Drosophila melanogaster: one gene and its partners. The protein of the gene in region 3 purifies or fractionates together with the protein of the main gene of each other region. This does not show direct contact. Each region holds a gene or a part of one and is shown on either strand. Other genes may lie near its edges.

Region 1 (3,236 bases), about 13 Mb from region 3:
TACATGCAGCTGGTAGTTGGGCTTGTCGGCAGTGCCATTGTCGCATTTTGCGCCGCTTTTGTACTTCAGAAACATATTTCCATTGTTGTAGAACAACTCGTGCTGACGACCTGAACAGTAAAGGTATCTTAGCGTGTGAGATACAGATAATGTGATCGTTAACTTACCCAAAATATACTCCTTTCCCTGTCTTTTGAGACAAGCTGCCACATTACTTTCCCCATTGCAGGTTCTTGAAAGATTTCCGCATATATTGAACTCGAATTGGTCGCCTCCAATGTTCATGCTCTTCACCACATGGGCCAAATCCGAGTGGAGACCACTGAAGTCGAAGGTGCTGCCGTAAATGGGCTCCTTGAGTTTACATTCCGTGGTGGAAAATTTCTAAAGAAAAAGTAAACATATTACAGTTACATATTTTCCTATTTCAAAGAAAACAAGACATTTTTTATGACTATTATCGCTTCATTATTCAGCCTATTGATTTCTTAGCCATTCGAAATGTCGGCCAACAAAGACTGGAAGTGATAAGCGAGCGAAAAACATGCAATTGGGGGGCCTTAAACGGGGTCTCGACCAAAAGGCAACAAGTGCGCAGTGAAAACAAACAAACACCCCCAAAATAAACGACCCACGCCCACTAACCGCCCACTTACCAGCTGATTGGCTGCGTCAGCGGCGACACTCTCACCGCTGCAGAAAAGCAGCAAAAGCAGGGAAATCACAATTGGGAAACGCATCTGCTGGAATGTCAGTAAATGCAATGAATAGTTTTTAGTTCAGTTTAAATGTATTCAGCATGTATCATCTTACCTGACGAAAATTTTCCTGCGTGGGAGCTGCGCAGTCCTTTTGCAAACTGCAACGCATTTTGTCACCTGCAGGCTCTGAAATATTGGCACTAAATGAGTCAAAGCGCTGGAAAGCGTTTGCAGTTTGTTTCTTTTACTGTTTTATTGGTAATTCCACCTAAGATTAGCGCTCTTTTTTCGCACACAAAGTAATTTAATTTCCCTTATCACAAGCTAACTGTTTGTTTTGCGAGAGAGCCAAGTTGTTATTGCTTTTCCAATTGGCTCTCTGCTTCGATTTTTCAACGGCCGTTCGCAGCAATTCTTCTTCTTTGCGCAGCAGAACAAATAAGGAAATGCCGGCGACGCAGTTGCACGATAGGCATAACAACGAACACAAATAGTGGCGAAATAACTATTTTTAGCTTGAATATACCTTTTTCGGATGCGGCTAAATTACCTGGCCAAAAAACAACACCCGCTCTTACCAATGTTACTTTACGTTTACAAGCGAGTGGCAGCGCTCAGAAGAAGTCGAGCTGCGTAGCAGTGTGGTAGCACTGGTCAAACAGCTGTTGGGCTTTTGAATATACATTATGTTTGAGAATCCAATACAACCAACGTGTGTAGTGTTACTTACATACTAACATTGTTGTTAACAAGGCTATATTCAGATTACATGAAATGATCCATAACTTTATTTTCATCGTATTATGGCTAATAACTTAAAATTTAATTTTCCCGCCTAAAACCTATGCACGTTGCCAAGTGAATGGCTGAAACCAAACAAACAGCTGTTGCGCGGGCATAAACTTGCATTTATATTGTTATTTACTATATCTACCCGGTATTAAGATGGCCGCAAATATAGCCGCCGCTGCTGCAGCTGCCCAAGAAGTGGATCCCGTGCTGAAGAAGGCCATCAAGTTGCTGCACTCGAGTAATCCCACCTCGGCGGCCGAACTGCGTCTGCTTTTGGACGAGGCTTTGAAGGCGCGTTTTGGTCCGGAGAAAAGTTTGACCAACAACATGACGCCACGGATGCTGGAGGATGAAGCGAACTTTTCCGGACGTGCTGCCACGCCCCCGCAGCAGCCCATCAATGCGGACGAGATCATCAATTTGACCAACTCACCGGACAAGGAGCCCTCCGATTCGGTGGACACGATTGCGGATTCGGATGACGGTCTAAGCGCCGTGGGAATAGTTAACACCGGTGACACCGGCGACTTTGGCGACCTCAATTGCTGCGTGTGCGGCGAGATGGTTTTCACGGCCACCAATCGGCTGATTGAGTGCTCCAAGTGCGGTGCCATGTACCATCAGGAGTGCCACAAGCCGCCCATAACCAAGGAGGAGGCGGCCGATGACCAGGAGCAGAACTGGCAGTGCGACACGTGCTGCAACAAGCCAACGAGCAGCGGGAGGACAACATCCTCTGCAGCGGCCGTAACGCCAACTGTCTTCATAGCCGACGAACCCATGCCGTTGACCAGCAAAGCCAAATCGTCGGTCGCGTCGTCGCGCTCATCGAACTCTTCCAACTCCTCGTCACCCTTCTACCGGCCCGAGCCCAGCAGTTCCACGAATGCCAGCAGCAGTAGCAGCAGCAAGCATGGCCACAAGTCCTCCTCTTCGTCGTCGTCCAAATCGCACAAGGAAGAACGATCCTCTAAGTCCACGGCGGCGTCTTCTCTTAGCGCCATCGGCGGAATGGAGAAGCACAACAGCAGTGGCACCTCATCGCGACGCAGCGGCTCCAGCACCAAATCCAGCTCCAAGAGCAGTTCCTCCAAGCATCACGAAAGCGGCAGCAGCAGCAAGCGCAGATCCAAGCAGTAATTTAGCATCTCTAATAATTAAGTATAAAGTTACAATCCGCATAAAATTCTGAACGTTCATTCATAATAATAATTCAATAATTCATTTTCAATAAATGATTTTTAAAGATATGTACGTGCTATCGAATTCAGTAAATGTAGGTAAAAGTAAGAAAATATTTCAAGTTTTTATTAATGAGGTTACAAATGTAAAAATACAGAAAACAAAGGCTCCTATCCCTGGTATTTCCGCACAGTGACGGCTGGTGTCCGCGGACTACGGCCGGGCGTGGAGGAGTCGCCATGGCCGTTTACCTTGCGCAGGTTAACTCGGGTCACAGGTGAGGCCTCCTCCTTCGAACTGGACGCCAACGCGCTGCGGGATGAGGGTGTACGTGAATCAACCGCCGTCGCCTTATCCTGGTCCGCTTTCTTTTTGCGTTTGACATTCACAATTACGTTGGCATCCATGCTAACGTCGAGCTCGAAGTTAAACTCATAGGTCTTCTTGGAACGCGGCTGTGGAGTGAGGTCATCGTTGATCACGGTTTTGCCACCGGGACGTCCACGCAGCGAAATAGACGGGCTGAAATTGATCTTGGCATTGGGAGTACGGAGCCGCGCT
Region 2 (5,453 bases), on a different chromosome or scaffold from region 3:
GTGGTGTGAAAAATGCTTACCGGTTCGCATAGTTCGATATCAGTTGCTGCCGATCGGGTCCGGTGCCGATGATCTTGACATAAACCTGCGACTGGTCGACGATGTGCGGATTCTCCAGATGCTGGGCCACCGGAATGGCAAGCTCGGCGATTAGCGGCTTGAGGGGAGCTAGTGTGCCGCTGGTCAGGATTACGCTGCGCACTTGGGTGTTGAGCAGTTGCTCCATTCCGAAGCCAGGATTGAAGCACCAGAAGTTAATGATTTTTGCGACCTTGCTTAAGCCAGTCGCTGCTGCAATCGTTCCCTTGCCAAGCCAACCGCCCTGCTGTTTAGCACCCTGCTGCTTACCGTGTCCCTGCTTGGACTCCTCCACCAGGACATGCACTTTGAAGCTTGCGTACACCTTGCTCATCACATCCTCCTTGTTGGCAAACACAATGGTCAGTAGATCGCTAAGCAACGTGAAGGTGCCGCCCTTGCGGATGCTCATCTGCTGGGAGGCCACTAGGAGGTATTGCACCAGTTTGTCCAGCAGGGATACTATCGTTGCAACGTTGCCGTAGGTGAACTACAATAAAGGAAGTTACATTTTTAAATAGGCATTCTTTTAAAAACATTTCCGATAAGATTTAGTGCATCTTACATTCGCCTTGCCAAGCAGTTCGTACATCATGGAGGCGGGAAAGGTAGTTCCATCGACGGCGTTGTCCACAACGATGGCATCGATGGCCTTTTCGAGCTCGAGCAGCATCTCCTTGAGCAGTGTAAGGTCGTCCAGTGTGAAGTCCTTTGGCTCATCTCCAGCCATATCCTGCGACTCGCCGCTCGCAAAGACTTGCATGATATGCGTGACGTCCTCGATGGCCATGGCCACATCAGAGGACTTAATCTGCACCGAAGCGGACTCCTCGCAGATCTTCTCGATGTTGTGGGCCTCATCCAGGATCACAATAGTGTTGCCCAGTTCGATTTTGTTGGCCTTGCGAGCCTTGGGATCGAGTAGATAATTGTAGGGCATGAAGGTGATATCCGCCTGGGGAACCAACTCCCGAGACGCGAAGTAGGGACAGATCTTGAGTCGCTGGCCCACCTTGACCAGGTCCTCAATGTCCATGATGGTGGGTCCGCGCAAATCGGGATGATCCTTTCGCGACTCAACGCGCATTTGAAATGAACAGGTCTTGGAGTGCACCCGTAGCTTGCACATGTTGGTCTTGTTGGAGTTGCCCTGCTCCCGCATGACCTCCGGATGAATGCATAGCTGATCGCGGGAGCCCAGAACCACGGATCTCATGTTAGCGTACGCTGTCCTCTTGAGTTCCCGCATCGCCTGCGTCAATTGGGAGTGGGTGCGCGAGGCGTAGATGACCTTGGGCACGCCCCAGTTATTCGCACGACCCATGGTCTTGGCCAGCTCGGACAGGTCTCCCCCAGGTGCTCCGCCTCCAAGACCCGAAAAATCTGCCTTCTCCATCTTAACCATCTGCTTTTGGTGCTCCGATTGCCTGGTGCGGATCCAGGCCAAGGATGAGCACAGCAAGCTTAGGGTCTTGCCCGTGCCGGTTGGCGATTCCAGGACTCCATTCGTGCCATCGCGGAGACAATGGATCACCTTCTCCATGTACGCCCGTTGAACCGGGTACGGCTCGAACGGAAAGTGCACCGGAATGCCGGCGATCAGGCTCTCCGGCATTATTCTTAATAATACTATTTATTTACTTGTTTACGCGCCAAATCGGAGTGAACATGTGTTCGTTGGTCGATAACAATAAATGTCTGTGTAGGTGGTCAGTTATCGCTATCGATAGAGTACAGTGGACCCTGATTAAGTAATTTTATAGCGTTATCTTGAACTCCGAGTCAAATGTTTACAACTTGCATGTCAAACCCTGCGTAGTTTATTTTAAACGTAATAGTAGTACTAATCACCACCCAAAGTGCTGCAATCGTGTTTATGGTACCTTATGGATAATAGTAACTGAAACTTATAAACTTATTAGCATTGGAGGGAATACTGTAGTTGTGATTCTGTTTATTTGGATCAAAGATTAACGATATAACATTTTAAGTGAATGTTATGGATTATACCAAACTAATGAACTAATGGCATTCAAGATTAAATGTGCAGCATACATATAAATCCCCTAACAAGGTAAGTAAATATTTGACATCAATTATTACAAACTCAGTTAATTCAACCACAAATCCATTTATCGTGACCCCTTCGCTCGGCTTTTCCGAATCGCCGCGATACGGCCCCACTGATTTGGCGCTTCTCGGCCACACCAAAAAAACACAGAACGGCATCAAATCATTCGAACTTTGAGAACGGTAGTGTTGTGTTGTTATTGCTCGGCAGCAAAGTAAAATCCGAAGAGAAGCGAGTCGAACAAGAGAAGAAGAAGCGCAGGAGTGGACGACAGCAATGCAACAACAGTGACGAGGCGCCAGTGTGCAAAAGTATGTGTGCGAGTGCGTGTAAGCAACAACTCCCCGATACAAACCTACGAGCGAGAGGGGGACGGCGATAGCGACGGTCGTTCGGTCGGTCGGTCCGACCGCTAGTCGCGTCTGTCGGTCGTTCTCGCCTATGCACCTCGGCGGCAGAGCGAAAGAGAGCGCACTCTGGCTGTGTGTGTGCGTGTGTGTTCTCGCTCTCTCGCGCGGTGGTGATAAATTTCTGTTGGCACAAAGTAAAAATATAACAGAATAAAAAATCGTGGCGCGGCATATAGAAGCTAATCGAAAATTATTGCGAGTATTGGGTGGAGGAGAAACATTCCTCTTCTTGTGAGTGCGTTTTTGTTTTAGTTATTCTTTTTTTTTTTTTTTTTGGCCGGAAACTCTCACTCGAAGATGCTGCCGGTGTAGTTGTGTATGAATGTTGTACCATTTTTTTTTTTTTTGAGATAGAAAATTTAGATCTAAAATATTAACCATGCGATCCTTAGAATCGCACTTTTAAAATATGTCCACACATTTTCAAATTCGAAAGCTTTGGCGGGCTGTCGATGGGCGGGCGCTTGCAACTCTGGCGATAACGATTACCGTGCCGATAACGCGGCTGCACTAATCAGCATTATCACATGCAAATTAAGGTCATCCAAATGAAAAATGACCACCAATCAAAGGCCCTGCACCCCTTTGCCGCCCCCCATTTATGCGAAACAACTAGAAAAAGTGTGTTTATTTCTTCACCGTTTTTCGAGCTCTGACAACCCTGCCGCTGCTGCATAAGTGAATTCCGACAAAGAGCCGTGTCATTTTGTTGGCCAAAACATCGCTGCGCCGAGATTAATTAGACGGAAAAAACTCGATTACTTGAAGTGCTCGGCCCTATATCGTTTTGGTTTAAACGTGTGTGTGAGCTTTGTGGATTGCCATCAAACACAATAGGCCGACTCGTCCCCCGCAGCCACCCGTACCATTCCAACACGTCGGAGCAGGGTTGCCAGATCAACGATAAATCACACACCGCTCGTTTAATACGAATTTTGTGTTGTTTTTACTTAAGACAAAATTTGTGAAACTTAATAGATATATTTTAATTTCCGCTCAACGTTATACCTGTCCGAAGTGGGGGTATCTGGCAACTACACCGAGCCGCGTGTGTGCGAATGTGTGTGTGCATGTCCATGTGCGCGAGTGTGCGTATGTGTTTGCGCTCTTATTCAAATAGAAATTGAATGTTTTGCACTCGAATTCAAGACAATTACGGCTCCTCCGGTAAAAACACATTTAGACTGGCTGACCTAATTTAAGGTGTAAGGATGTGGGTTACGCCTGCGATCGCCGAGTGATCGTTATCGTTATCCCGGCTTTGGTTAATCGCATTCCTCCTTCTCCTCCCCCTGGCATCGGCATCCACCACATCCCAACCCCCTTTCTCATTTTTCTCCTCCATCGCCCCTTCTTCGGCAGGCCATCTCCCTCGCTCTCCATCAGAGATGCGTAGGTCGTGCTCCCTCGCACACACACTCACGATCGTGAGCTTGGTCATTGTGTAATCGATTTACGGTTACCTTTTACCTCAACTCGAGATGGTGGGAGCAGTAATCTACTTTGTTAATAGGGGCAGCGAATATCACGCAATATAACAAAGTGTAAGGATATCGAAACTAAACACTAATTTGTGTAATGGTACACTTCAGATAGAAAATAGAGAACCATTTAAAGATCAATCTCTTTGGCACCTGCGTTATAATGACTACTTGTTACCTAGTTTAAAACTTCTACATATGAATCTAACTCATTTATTATTTTGAATATACGACAAGTACGACAATTATAAATATTATTGCTTAGTACTAGACTTCGTATTGTTTTTGGCAAAGCCAAAGCTATTCACACGCGTGTCGCCCACCTGGCTCACGTTGCCATCTCTAGGCGACGCCAGCAGAGCGTTGTAGTGGTGGCAGTGGCGTCGAGTGAATGACTCCGTAGTGGGGCATCAATAGAAAGAGAAGAAGGAACGAGTTAGATGGAGCGAGGAGGAGATGCAGAGGAGGCATAATGGCCAGTGAGTGAAGCGGAGTGGATTTGGATTTGTGTCAAAGCGATTTTCCCCAACATAAATATTTAGCTCTCTAGGACCAACGGCCGACCCCCTGGGAATTAAATTCCATTTTGTTGTTTAATTAGCACTTGCGTTATGCGACAGAGTGTGCGGTGTGTAGATAGTTTGTGAGTGATATCGTTGATTACGCAGTTGTTTCATTATCTGTATGGATTTATATTGCCGCTTCTTAATCGATTGGCCACAGTGCGTATGCGCAACCTATTGATATTTTACAACCAGTTGCGTACCTGTTTCATTATCATTTCGTTCTGTTCTGTTCTGTTTCGTTCGTTACCATTCGCAGTTCGCTGTTGTTGTTGTTTCTCCAGTCCAAATGTCAGCTGTTGCACGCAACATGTACCATAGAAGCGGAACAGCGAAACGCAGAAAAAGAGCAAATCGATCAAGCCCAGGACAAGAACAACAAGTGCAAGAGAATCGGCAGCAAAAACAACAAGCAGATAAAGAGAGCTGCTAACAACGTAAACAAAACCTAAACACCTATACACACGCAAAGGGAGATAGCAACAAATACAAAAACAACAACCACAAATAGCAAGAATATAGCAGAAAGCGAGAGAGAAGGAGAGGGAGAAAGTGCACCTGAGAGGGGAAATAAAAGATCAACGATAAAAGATAAGAGATAAAGTAAGTAAAGCTTGACTTTTTGGTTTGTTGGTCAATCGAAATTGAACCTGTACCGATAACGTTTACCAAATTTCATAACACCAAAACATTGATTTAATTGTCAAAACCAAAACGTTAAACGTTGTGAGTTTTCCAAGTAGACGAGTACTTTGAGCTCACACTTTTTGCAGAGTTTTTTTTTTTTTTTTCAAAAAGCGTACCACCAAATTGTTTGGCTCGAAACTCAAATTATTATACATTTGTGCAT
Region 3 (5,030 bases):
CGGAAAATAGCGAAAATTACAATTATCCGGGAAGATATATTGGTCGAAAACTAACTCGTGATCCCCCAATAAATATGCGCAAGAGAAAATTGTATATAAACTGATCGAATGCAGCCAGCGTGCTAAGCACTAAAAGCGAAAAACGCCAGAAACAGAAACAAGGAATTGCAGCGTGAGTGTATAACTTTTTGGTTTTTGCCCCCGCGCTCTTTCTCTCTCTTTGCTGCTCTCTCTCTCCCGCTCTCTTTTGCCCTCTTGCGGCTTCTGTGTTGTCTGCGTGCTAGTGTGTGTGTGTTTGAATTTTACTGTGAATGTGACCGACGGTGTGTTCTCACGTACTCCGTGGATGATTTGCGGCCTTGCCAGGGAATCGGACTATATATCCCGGCAATAGCCCATATTGGATCCCGATTTTGAATACAACTCGGCTGATTTGCTTCTTTCAGTGTCTCCCCTTTTATCGCACTTTATGCAACAACGCATACCGTCGTGTTGAATTTCCTCGCTCTCCGCTGTGTGTGGTTTGTAGGTGTGCGTGTGTTCGAGGTGAGTTAGCCGTCGTCTGTTTTTCTTTTCCCTGCGTTTTGTGTGCGTTTCAATGAAATGCAAAATCGCCAGCGAATATCGCGGAAATGCGCTGCTCCTAAATATTATGTATACATAAATAAAGTATCGAATCAAAACAAAATCGGCTTGCAACAACAACAAAAACATTGCAGAGTGTGGGTGGCGCGTGTAGCGATCAAAATTGCGTGCATGTGTAATGTGTGTGGTGGAGAGACGGCATTTTTCTTTACCACACGCCTCTTCTTCTTTCCCACAATACACTGCAATTTTTGCGATTCTGTTTTGCGCCTGCCATTCGCAATAATTTTATTGAATGAACCGCAAAAGAGACGGCCCAAAAAGCGATGTACTTGCCAGACGTTGTGTCTGTGTGCGTCCAAGTGTCTGTAGCGCGTTGTGTGTGTATCGCGTATGAAAATACATCAACTGTTGGGCATCAACAAAAAAACGGAATCAAAAATTTATAATAAAAAATGAAAGGAAATTAGCTGACTTTGTAATCGCAATCGGAGAGTGTTTACTTGCTAAATTTTCGAGTTCTCCGCCCGTCTCTTTCCCTTCATCCCTCCTGCCTTCACCGCCAATACCACCCCAAAAAATTGCATACATGCACACACGCCTTCGGTTGTGCGAGTGGTTTAGTGTGTGAGCGCGCGCGTATTCTGCACACATTGTCATGCATGCAAAAAACAAGATACGACGCGTTCGCAATCGTTAGATTCCGTCTCCCCCAATTCATGGCGTTTCATTGCTGGGGGCGAAAGTAAGAAGATAACGAAAGGGATATGCGAACCACTTCCTAATGAAGTCCTGCATCCTTAGCTTTTGGATTCCCACCTCTTCGCCTTCTCCTTCTTCACACGGACACTTGCAGCGTTCGCGCCCATGCGTGTGTATGTGTGCGAAGAACAGGAAGAGAGCAGCGAGACTCCAATTATCCATTTACAGTTGCGGTTGAAATGATGGAGCATAGTTGTATTATTTGTATTCACACAATTACCGGTGGTATTTAAAGTCTTAACAATATTTATTAATTTCCTGCTACCTTCCTAAATTTTATTCATAGTTTTAATACTGTACCCAAGTACCTTAAGTTCCCTAATCAGATGTAAACTTGTTGATAGGCATAATTCCTATCTTAGTTTGTATTTTTGTCTACTATAACCTAAACTTAATTCTACTACGAATTTAATTACAACATACTAAGACTGTAATCTACAAACCAAACGAAAATGCCTTGAATAAAAGAGGTCTAGTGATTCATAATACGATTTGCACACGTGTTATTAACTAGGTAGTAGCGAAATAGAGTCAAAAAGGCCACCGACTTGTTCACAACTGTATCTCTTACTAACTTCCCTATAAAAACTAATTGTTGCTGGGGCGAAAAAATACTGCCAAGTTGTCATATTTGCCGGACTTTATTGATGACTCGACTCCAGAGCTCTATATTTCGCACACAGATTTTCTCTCGGCACTTTTCGCAACCTTCTGCGGCCGCTGGTTATTAATAAAAATTAATAATAAACGAAATCTGTGGCGCTGTGCGGCACTTGGACACACTTATGTACACATGAGCATTCTCGTGTTTTTCGCAGCTGATTGCGTAAACGAAACCGCTCGCTACGTTTGTTTTGAATTGCTACTTTTGTTTTGGTACCGATTCAGACTTGGAATCCGATTCAGTTACAGATTGAGATTGAGATTGAGATACTCAGGCTCTCCGCCTGGGCTTCAATTCTCCTGCGGGCGTTATCAGTGGCCTATGGCGCTTTATTGGAATTACCATGGAAGTGGGAACTTAATCGCTGTGCAAATCGCTTCGAAACAGCGCAGCACGCATTTTCCCCGACGTCTTGCAACCTTGGGCGAGTGGCACTGCGGGCGGTGGGTGGTGAGCGGTTGGGTGATCTAGAGTGACGTAAATATTTGTGGTGGACAGTCAACATTGAGGTGGCGCTCTTCAACGATGACGTAGCTTTTGCCACTTCTGTTTACTCGCACATTATTTCACACACTTCTCCATTGATTTTCGCCGTGCAGATAACGAAATAGTGGACTGATTGTTAACTGTGTATAAATGAAAATATGGGTATGATATGTGTTTATTTACACTTTTTTTCTGTGTACGAGAATGGTTAGATTACTCCCCTTCCTCGTTTTGAGTCACCCGCTCTCTGGCCCTCGCCGCTGTTTGTTTTCTTCGCGCGCGTGTTTGCTCTCGCCGTGGGGCGAAAGCGCAGCGATAATAGTGGCTCAGATATAGTGTATACTATATGTATAGTAAACCTACTCATACCGAAAACCCCATCGCACAGATACGGATACATTTACAGATACACGCGCGCACTGCGGAAGGCCTAGATCTAATGGAAAACGCTAAATGTTTGTAAACAGACCGGGCACATTTCTTTTCTTTTCTTAATTATTTTTTGCATTTCGCATTTTAGTTGGCATGGTCTTCTCACGGCTTCTCTCTCTTCACACATCTTTCTTCCGAAAATACACTCACACACACGCACACCGAACGTAGCTTTCACATTTTCATTCATCGCAATCTTCGCCATGAAGTGTTGCAAAGGCCCCAAGATAAGATATAGGATGCACTTGGATACCTTAACCTCACCTTTTTGCGACAATAGCACACGAATAATCCAATTTTTTGTATGACGTTGTTGGGCGAACAATTTTATAAGTCTTGGAAAGGAATTTCTGTGCTGTGTTGATACACAAAACAACAAAATAATAAAAAATTATAAATGGTATTGAACTACTGTACTAGTGAATAGTTTGAACCAGACTTTAAATTAAAGGCAATTATGATGTTGAAAATATTTAAGTACCTTTATGCATGCATATAGTTAAAATACAATTTTTTAGATAACAAACAACATATGCGTTTACTGTCATTAAAAAAGGGATTATAAAACCATAAAAAAAGGATTTCGAAAAAGTAGTGTTTTTTAATATTGTATGATCTTTGAACGTTTTTTTTTTTAATTGTTTTATTTTCCTAACTTGCAGTGCAGTCTCGTCGTGCGCCCATCCCAATCCCATCAGACCCCACCCGGCGTTGGAGTGCAAGAATAACATGGATATAGAAGTCAAGCATAAAGATTAGCCGAATCCTTTGAATTTTAAATTCAAGATCCTAATTTAAATTAGCTAAGTAGCATAGCCTAGCCAATAGTCCCTAGCCAGAGGAACGGTTCCAAGCCGCAAGCACTCGCGTTCATAGTCCCGATCGAAATTCAAACGAATCCCAAGGGCACCAACAGCGTGTAGAACCGCAGAAGCACAGCAAGGAGGAACATCATCATGACGACTGACACCCGCCGACGCGTCAAGCTGTACGCGCTGAATGCGGAACGGCAATGGGATGATCGTGGCACTGGCCACGTGTCATCCACCTATGTGGAAAGACTAAAAGGTGGGTTTACGAAATTAATGAAGCCTTGCGAAGTGATTTAAGTTTCCTATTGCTCACTAACAACTTACAGGCATCTCGCTTTTGGTGCGAGCCGAATCCGATGGATCTCTACTTTTGGAGAGCAAGATACAACCGGACACCGCATACCAGAAGCAACAGGATACGCTGATCGTGTGGTCCGAGGGGGATAACTTTGATCTGGCCCTGAGTTTCCAGGAAAAGGCGGGCTGCGACGAAATATGGGAAAAGATATGTCAGGTAAGCGTCGTTGAATAAGCATATGCAGTTATAAATGTGCTTATCTATATATCAATGAACTTAAACAATTTCTATATGGTTTTCACATCAATTGCCAACTAAAACTTTTGCAGGTGCAAGGCAAGGATCCATCTGTAGAAATAACTCAAGACATCGTCGAAGAGTCTGAGGATGAGCGGTTTGAGGACATGTCGGATACTGCGCCACCCATTGAGCTACCACCCTGCGAGCTTTCCCGGCTGGAGGACATCTCGGAAACGATACAAAGCTGTCTCTCCACGCCGCTGCGAAAGGAAAAGTTGTCGATGGCTCTGGAGTCGGAGAGCTATATCAAGAAGCTGCTGAACTTGTTCCACGTGTGTGAGGACCTGGACAATACCGAGGGCCTGCATCACCTTTTTGAGATCTTCAAGAACATCTTCTTGCTAAATAAGAACGCGCTCTTTGAGATTATGTTTGCGGATGATACCATCTTTGATGTGGTCGGGTGCCTGGAGTACGATCCGAGTGTGTCTCAGCCCAAAAAGCATCGACAGTATCTGAAGCAGTTAGCCAAGTTCCGCGAGGCAGTGCCGATTAAAAACCTGGACCTGCTGGCTAAGATTCACCAGACGTTCCGGGTGCAGTACATCCAGGACATTATCCTGCCCACACCATCGGTCTTTGTCGAAGACAACATGCTGAACACCCTGTCCAGCTTCATCTTCTTCAACAAGGTGGAGATTGTCACGATGATCCAGGACGACGAGCGGTATCTCCTGGATGTGTTTGCTGT
Region 4 (8,478 bases), on a different chromosome or scaffold from region 3:
GTCAATGGCCGTCGCTGCCACCGAGGAGTTCTCGTCCCGCAGGCACTGAATGTAGGCGTTAAGGGTGCACAGGTTGATGTCCGAATTGCCGGGATTGTGCTTCAGATGCCTGATCAGTATGATGAAGGCGATGGACCGGATCTGGGCACTCGGCGAGAATATAAGGTTGAGCAGTCGTTCGAACAGCTCGTTGATGAACACAAATCTCTTGGAAGTGAGGCACTCCAGCTCCTGCATGGGACCCAAGACCACGTCCTCCGTGTTGGACTGCTTTATGATCTTGACCAGATCGAGGAAGTGCGGCGATATGTCCGTGTAGTTCGACCGGCTGTACGAGCCCAAGGTTAGAACCGATAAGGGACCCCTACTGCTGCTTGGATCGATGGGTGTTTGCGGATTCACTTCGATGGGATCCTCTGTTACCACGGGCTTGCTGGCCGATGGCTTTACATCGAAATGCTCATCCAGATCGTACTCGTACTTAACTTCCTCGTCGTCCAATTCCGTCGCCGAGTGCGACTTGTGCTGCAGCAGGGCAACGGCCTGGACCAAAACCTGCAGTTTGCCTAGTGAGGTGTACTTGGCTGCAAGTTCCTTCAGGATGCCCACGTACTGTTCGATGAAGAGCAGAGCACTTGAGGGATTGTAGTTGATGTAGGCTTGGAGCATCTGCACAAACTTGTTCAGCATTTGGCAGGCCTCTTTTACGTTGCTGTGGTGCTTGAAGAAGTTGAAGTAGCACGACAGCGTGTTTTGGATCTCGTTCTTGTACGCCTCCTCAAAGATGGTTGGTTGCAGCAGCTCCAGCGTCCTCAGGATCTGTACAAATCGGTGGAAGTGGTGCTCCTCGCGCAGGGCCTTCATGCTGAGCTGGGCCCGACCTTGCATAATGGACGACAGCACGCCCAGCTGGCGAAGGAAGAGAAGCGGGTGGGAGGCAGCCAGCTTGCGAAGGAGCAGCTCGGTGTCCGTGGACAGGGTTTCAAAGTCCTTTTTGCCCACCAGACTGCCCAAGCAGGTGATCAGATTGTTGGACACCTTGTCCGCCTGGCAGCCCTTCAGATTCTGCAATTTGTACGCCTGCTCGCCGGTTTTGCCCGGTTTCAGAAACTTGATGCGCGGATACATGATGTACATCTGCTGGAGGACCTGCAGTTTCAAGTAGTCGGACACCGAACTTTTCTCCACGTGCTCCATTACCTTGACCATGAGGTCTCGTCGCTTCTCTGTGAGCTTAAACAGTAGGTTCATTCGCGAGCAGAGCTTGAAATCATAGTTTTTGCTGTCCAGCTTGACCTCGGAAAGCCCTTCGTGAAGGATGAAGTGGGAGAACGGCTCCAGTTCAGAAGTCCTCAGCATGAAGAAGGCATCCGGCCGTACGTTCTTCGACATGTACTTGTCGCGTCCCTTCCACAGCTTCGGATTGGTGGTCAGTGCCTCGAAGTAGTTGAGGACGGTGGCGTAGTCGTAGTCTTCATGGAAATTCTTGAACAGGTACTCGGCAATCCTTTCGATCGTGTCCCAGTTGGTTTGGTGGTTGATCAGGGACAACAGATAGAACCTAAACTCGCTGCAGGACTTTGAGAACAGAAAGCGCTCCTTCATTAGCTGAGTGGAAACTATCTCGGGATCCATTTCGGACAGCCAGTCGATGAAGAGCCCGTTGTGGAAGAGCTGGTCGCTCTTGGACTTGGCGACGGTCTTGCTGTCCTTGGTCTGATCGAAGCTTTGGACGATCGCCCGGACGATCCGTTTTCGTGCCACCAAGGCGGTATTCGCCTTAAACTGCTGCGCATAAATCTCGCGAGAGTTTCTCAGCATGAACACCAAGCTCTCATGATAGAGTTCGGATTTCTGCAGCAGACTGGAGTCGGCGAATGTGTGCTTAAACATACTTAAGTTCTTTTGGAGAGCGTTCTCCAGTATGTGATACTTGTCGCTGTGCAGCATGCAGCTGAAGAAAGTCCTTAAAAATGTGCAGGCGTGACGGCTCATCGTGACACTGCAACCCACGGCTAGCACCTCTGTTATGGCGTTAACCACATCCGCTCTATTGCTGTTCGGGCTTGCTAGCATGTCCAACAGTTTTTGAATCAAGGATCGGCAGTCACTTCGCGACTCAGTCAACTGGTCGGGCTGCGTGAGAATGGTTTGGGCTACCTCCTTGGTGGCCAGGAAGTTAGTGGGTCTATCATCCGAGTCTGAAGAATCGTAATCATCAATTTCAACGGCCTCCTGAATAACCACACTGATCTTGGGCAGATCTGGCACAGTCTGCGAGTGGGAATGCAGATCCAAGGCCTGTACGGTGTAGTGCCCATTCTTAGCACCCCGCGCCTGCTGAATCTCGATTAGCTGGGCCAGATAGGCCTTGTTCAGAATGGCATTCTTCACCAGATCAAACTGCTCCAGTACAGCGGTGTCCAGCATTGCCAGCAGCTTGGACATCGAGTTGACCGGCGTGCCAAAGTTTTGCACAAAGAGCACGATCTGATCCGGCGTTAGATCGTTGAGAGCTGCCTCAATTAGTCTGTCCACCGATGAGCGGATCATCTTCAGCTTCAGCCAGTCGGGCAGCAGTTGCACCTGCTCCTGCGGCATGCTGGGCAGAAAGGCGACGGGCGCTGGTCGTCCGGGCGGAAACCAATAGTCCAAAATGGGTATCGATTCGGGCATGTTGCTGTTGGAATAGGTGAGCAGGATAATGAAGGCGTGAATGATGTTTATGTGGAGCGGTAGCTGTACTCCATCGTCAAACTGAACCATCAGCAGGTCCGGATACTCGGTCCACTCGTACGGTTCGTGGTATTCCCTTAGCTTAATTATATAGTTGTTGAACATGACGAAAAGACACTTCAGAGTCTGAATGCGGTTCTCGTCGGGCACATAGTCGTAGTCCTCCTGCGAAATGATAATGTGCTGAAACATTGTGCTGCGCTCTACAATCAGCTGCGCCATATCGATGACATGATCCAGCATTTCGTTGACCGGATCGTTGAGCGTGTGCGCAGTGATGAACTGAATGTACGCCATAATCAGTTCCGGGCAATTCTCCACCTGGCAGGCAGCTCGCAGCTGGGGAATTATGAAGGGTTTCACCTCGTAGAAGTGCGGAATTTGCTGGAGCGACTTCAGGAGCCATTCGTTTTCAAAGTCGCCAGAGTGCCTGAAGATTATCTTCAGACCCGAAAGAGCGGCGACTCGCGATTGCTTCACCGTGGACGACAAGCGTCTAAATATGTAGTCCAAAAGCTCGCAAACGATTTGGTGGCTAAGATTGCCGTCAAATATCAGGTTTCTCAGGAAATTGACTAACTCGGCATCGCGGCTATTCTCCTCGTTGATGATGTGCGCGTTGAACAGCAGAAACTCGCACAGGCATTGCACTGGGAGATGGCTGAAATCGCCCTCGCTGTTCTGAACCAAGTCGGAAAGCCAGGGCATGGATTGCGTGGTGCCCTGCCTTTGAATTATGTCCAGCAGCAAGTCCGGCTTGCGGCAGCGGCAGAATAAGTGGCCAAGCTTGTAGGTCTGATTAAGGAACTTTAGCTGATCTAGGACCATGGAGGGCACTTTGCGCGGAGTGCCCATCGGGTCCATCAGCATGAGCTGAGTGATTAGAATCGCAGTTTCCTCAGTGATAACAGCATGCGGCGATGTTTGGGCAGCCAAGTACGTCTCGAACTGCAGAATGTGATCCCGTTCCATGGTTATTATCTGAAAAATCTTTATTGTAGCACCGCCAGTTTGTTTATATAATTAAGCACGCACCTGCAACTCATCCTTGGTGGCTGATGAATTGTTGAATTGATTCGTTATACAAATCTCCATCATCATCTTCATTGTGGGATAGTGGTCCCAGCAGAAGGCTCCAAACGAGGAGGGGTTGTGTGCGGATATCATAAGCAATATGAGCCACGCCTTCCAGTAGAAGGCGATGATGGCCAGCTTTGGTGGCTCGTACTCCGCAGGCAAGCGAATGTTCTCCGGATGATGGTACTCTGACATGCTGAACAGGAAGTCGATGATGTCGAATTTGTTGGCCTGCACCGCCGGAATATTGGTAGCCTTCATCCCGGAAACTCGCTTTATGACCAGCAGCAGGACATCAAAGGTGTTTGCGATAGAGAAAGGAATATCCTTGGTGATGCCAATCAATATAATTCGCAGCAGGGTCTCCTCGTGAATCGGCGTCTCAGAGATAATCCGCAGGATTGCTCCTCGCTCCGGCTCTGACGGCCACTGATCGCAGCGCGAATACTGCTCCGGACTGTCCAGCAGTAGCAGCTTGTGCAGCGCCTGGTGGTACTCCGCAGCCGGAATCTTGAAGAGCGTGGGTACTGTTTCGTACATCCAGGACACTGTGTCCAACTGAATCTGTGACATCTGATTGTACAGCTTGAGCAGAGCATGGTTGTTTTTGGTGTCCCGATTGGTTTTCAGGGACAAACTGGCTTCCCTAGCTTGTGGCGTGGCCGACAGAAACATGCAGAGACACACAATGTCCACCATGGAGTTGAAAATTCGCTCCTTAAACTCGAACATTTCGATTTGAGGAGTCAGATCCTCCCGCTCACTGAGAAACGTCTTGCAAAACTTGACCAGGTTCACATCGAAGCGCAGCATCCGCACAAGCTCCCGTAAGAAAACGCGCAGGGTGCGCAGGCAATCGTCCCGCTGAAGCAAGAATTCCTGGTAAATCTCAGCCAGAGTGGCAGCTGATTGATCAGCAGATGTTTGAAACATTGTGGCTGGAAAAGTTTCAAATTAAGAATTATGATTTTAATTTAAGAAAAAATTTGTTTCTCTTACCCAGCATCCCCATATTGTTTGGATTCCTGGTGTTGGATAGCTCATTTTGCACGACCAGTTTCATTACGGTACTCAAGATTTCCGGCTGCAGAAAAATCATCTCCTTCAAGCAGGACATGTAGTGGTTTATTAGGGGCTTCGTCTTGAGCCGCATCTTCACCAGCACCAAGAGCACTTCGTTGTCCTGTGTGTTGCGTCCCTTGATGTTGAAGCAGATGTACGAGAGCAATTGCTGGGCGAACTTGACCAGTTTTCCGTTGTGGATCCACAGCTCCAGGCGGGAAATGCTCAGACATCGTACCTCTGCAATGCCAGAAGTGGTGCACAGGAACTTTAGGAAGTTTCTGGTGTAGTTATCCTGCTGCTGTCGCTTGTTGAGCTGATCGCGAATGGCATCGCTGACATGCTTCTGCACCACAGCATCGCTGAATCTTGATTTAGTGGTGCACATAGCGTCGGGAATTGGTTCCGATTCGGTATTTAAGGGACTTGCATCCAAGCTCTGTGTGGAATTGTCCCCGGAATCGTCGTCCACAGTCATGCTGTCTCTGTGTGCTTGACCAGAAGGCAGGGACGAGCTCACATCCCAGCGGAGGAGACTGATGTGGGGCGTGCGGGTTTTAAAGGCTGCGCATATGTTCTTCACGAGCGGGGCACACAGTTCATTGTCCGCCCAGTAGCGCTCGTTAACCGCATCGTCTATGTAAATGCGGAGCAGCACCTCCGGCCACTGGGAAATCTCCATGAAGCCCCGGGTCAGCAGATTGGCGAACAGAATGTGCAGGTTGGTGTTGTACCTCATTTTCACGTTGGCCTCCCGCCGCAGGAAGGAAAGCAGCGCGCAGGCCACTATGTCTGTGCAGAATATACTCGGCTGTACCTTGGCCACGTAGATCAGGGCCAGAAGGGCAATGTTGTCCACCTTGGAGCGCGAGGAGCTCGTCGTTGTCTGCTTTATAACGCCGCATACAAGCCGGCCCACAGTTTCGCTGTCGTTCTGCTCCAAAGCCGCGTATATGGTCTCGACCACGGTATCCAGATCGCAGTCAACGGCGAATTGCTCCCACGTCTCGCACTGACTACTACCGGAGGACATGTCCGGGGCGCCCGCGTCCTTCAGGTTGCCGCGGAACCGCTTGCTCGAGCTGGCCAGTGCGGTGGAGGCTTCACGCTTGCGGTCCGACGACGACATGCCCTTAATGGGCAGGATCTTCGACTTGGAGTCATCGCGTACGCTCTTGCCGAGCGCAAAGAGTTCTCCGCCCAGCGGAACCTTCTTCTGCGATCGGTTGGAGCCGCTTCCTTTCCCGCGATCCATTTTTCTCTGTTCGTGTGTGAAGGTTTTTTCTGTCCATAAAATGGATAATTCAAGCGCGGTGCATTTTATTTTGCTTTGCGATTTGCAGCCGTGCAACAGTTGCAGTGTGACCAGAGTGCAGGCGCTAGGGCTCAATGGCTAACGCATGCAGAAGTCTGTGCAACTGCTCTGATTCGGAACGATGGAAGCTTTGAAACAGGCTTTAATATAAATATTGAACTGTTTTCATATTTTAATTTTTATTTTTTGACAAGTGTGTAACCTAACACCCTTAGGCGCACATTTGCATACATCATTTTTCAGATGGCCCACTCTCATGTGCAGATTGTTCTTAAGAACCCCTCAACGCGGTCACACTAAAATTGTTTACAAAATTGCAAGGAAAATAATAATAATTGTAAATTAAAATCAGCGCACCAGCATGTTTCTGTCCATCGCCCCGCCCCTAATGGACTTCGAGGACGAGCTGCTCTGGATAAACCAGTCGAACAGCGACAAGGTGGAGATCATCTACGACAAGTCCAACTACATTACCCCCAACATAAAGCACCTCATCGAGCAGGCTTTTCTCCAGCCACTCAGCCTCCAGAACCAGCACATCCTCTTCGACGACCTGCTGAAGCAGAACACGGACATTGCGCGCCAATATGGACTGACCCCGGACAAGGTAAGAACCGAAAACATTGCTAGATATATGTCTTATCCATTGCTTCCATCTCAGCTACCTCTGCTCGTGGAAAGCAATCCTCTCATCTCCATTGAGATCTTGCTAAGACTGATGACGACCTCCGACATAACTGAATACTTCAACGTGTTGGTCAACATGGACATAACACTTCACTCCATGGAGGTGGTCAACCGGTAGGAATCCAAACATCGAGTATTGAAGGCTTCTTTAACATGCTCGAGCTCTCATTCCAGACTAACCACCTCCGGACCTTTGCCCACTGAGTTTATTCACCTATACATCAGCAATTGCATCTCGACTTGCGAAACAGTCAAGGACAAGTACATGCAGTCTCGCCTGGTGCGACTCGTTTGCGTATTTCTGCAGTCCTTGATTAGGAACAAGATTGTGAACGTTAGGGTATGCGCTACTACCATTTCCTCGACTGTGCTTAGTGACTATTCTATTGTTATTTTCCAGGAACTATTCATTGAAATCGAAGCCTTCTGCGTGGGTTTCAGCAAAATCAAGGAGGCTGCTACCCTGTACCGGCTTATCAAACACTTGGAAACTGGGGAAAGCGCTCTGTCGTCCAACTCCCTAGCTAAGTAGTGGTAGTGTTTAGCAGATTTTAAGTTTTAAAGTCTAGTTCATAATAAATCGATTAAATACGACAACTCCAGCTGTACATGTAAAACAAATTCGCATTTAATAACTTAAGTATCTAATGTAGAGTTGTGTGTTTTATGAGTGAGTGTTGGCTGCCTCGTTGGTGTGAAAGTAAAGTGGCTCGGCCGAGGGCTTGGGGAAACGGCTCAGGTAGCGTTCCAGTCTTAAGAATTTAATCGAAATCAGGCGCTTGTCGAACCACCAGCCGTTGATCTCTTTGTGAATCGTGCCGGCGTCCTCCTCGCTGGCGCAGCGGATGTACACGCAGCAGGACTGCACGTCCAGCTGGACATCGCAGATCTTGCAGCGCGTGCCGACCTTCTCGATGATCGACTCCACGATGGACTGCTTCAGATTGGCCTGATCCACCTCTGAGGAGTCGAACATGTGCCTAATCTTCAGGCAGGGAGTCGGCGGGTTGGCAATCTTGTTCGAGTTATCGAAGGCGGGACTCTGCCACTTCTTAACAAGCCCCACATCCTTTTTGTCAACGTTCCTGTTCCACGCAATTGTGCGCATTGCCTTCCCGTCACGATTCACCATTCCGAACAGCACACGGCTATCGTTTTTCTCCAGCTGCTTGAGGGCCTTGTTCCAAGAAGACAAGAGCTTTGAGCGCTTCTTGGCCGGCAGAAACTTCTCCTGCAGCTGGTTAATAACTACCTCGGGACTCTCGGACTGGGAGCTCAAGTAAATTAGCTCGTTTATTATGTCCTTTTGGAACTGATCGACCGCCAACAGGGCTTCCTTCTGCTTAACTCGGTATATTACTACCGCGACGTACACGATGAGAAATCCAGCGACTATTAAGAGAAGTGCACCGATAACGGTGAAAAACCTGGTAACTTTCTTCAACACAATGCACTTGAGCGGCAGATTGGGTTCAGAAAGCTCGAAGTGCGAGGTCTGTCCAAGGTGCTTCGTTGAATCCACCACTTGGATGCTCCACTGCGGATTCTCGGTAATCAAATATTTGGCAGCCATCAAGTTGCTGTGCAGATTTCCCCTGTGA

The links.
Region 1: the proteins of omd (region 3) and IntS12 purify together in Drosophila melanogaster (affinity purification with western blotting; one study listed by BioGRID). This does not show direct contact.
Region 2: the proteins of omd (region 3) and IntS6 purify together in Drosophila melanogaster (affinity purification with western blotting; one study listed by BioGRID). This does not show direct contact.
Region 4: the proteins of omd (region 3) and IntS1 purify together in Drosophila melanogaster (affinity purification with western blotting; 2 studies listed by BioGRID, with this or other methods). This does not show direct contact.

Annotation. Positions count from the first base shown.
Region 1 is NT_033777.3:26,861,824-26,865,059, forward strand, and holds IntS12 (integrator 12), read left to right. Parts: upstream 1-1,552; 5' UTR 1,553-1,646; coding exon 1,647-2,633; 3' UTR 2,634-2,736; downstream 2,737-3,236. Other genes in the region: Lerp (lysosomal enzyme receptor protein), read right to left, coding at 1-110, 168-384, 657-743, 814-870; ball (ballchen), read right to left, coding at 2,846-3,236. UniProt on the Drosophila melanogaster protein: Component of the integrator complex, a multiprotein complex that terminates RNA polymerase II (Pol II) transcription in the promoter-proximal region of genes.
Region 2 is NC_004354.4:5,744,109-5,749,561, reverse strand, and holds the start of IntS6 (integrator 6), read left to right. Parts: upstream 1-2,307; 5' UTR 2,308-2,790; intron 2,791-3,186; exon of another isoform or gene 3,187-3,359; intron 3,360-4,862; exon of another isoform or gene 4,863-5,206; intron 5,207-5,453. Other genes in the region: Rtel1 (regulator of telomere elongation helicase 1), read right to left, coding at 21-568, 644-1,693. UniProt on the Drosophila melanogaster protein: Component of the integrator complex, a multiprotein complex that terminates RNA polymerase II (Pol II) transcription in the promoter-proximal region of genes.
Region 3 is NT_033777.3:13,683,979-13,689,008, forward strand, and holds the start of omd (oocyte maintenance defects), read right to left. Parts: upstream 3,233-5,030; 5' UTR 3,194-3,232; intron 547-3,193; exon of another isoform or gene 447-546; intron 173-446; exon of another isoform or gene 1-172. Other genes in the region: flfl (falafel), read left to right, coding at 3,886-3,997, 4,068-4,255, 4,369-5,030. UniProt on the Drosophila melanogaster protein: Component of the integrator complex, a multiprotein complex that terminates RNA polymerase II (Pol II) transcription in the promoter-proximal region of genes.
Region 4 is NT_033778.4:24,035,714-24,044,191, reverse strand, and holds the start of IntS1 (integrator 1), read right to left. Parts: upstream 6,250-8,478; 5' UTR 6,131-6,249; coding exon 4,813-6,130; intron 4,752-4,812; coding exon 3,772-4,751; intron 3,718-3,771; coding exon 1-3,717. Other genes in the region: Not11 (CCR4-NOT transcription complex subunit 11), read left to right, coding at 6,552-6,797, 6,852-6,991, 7,052-7,409; MAN1, read right to left, coding at 7,542-8,478. UniProt on the Drosophila melanogaster protein: Component of the integrator complex, a multiprotein complex that terminates RNA polymerase II (Pol II) transcription in the promoter-proximal region of genes.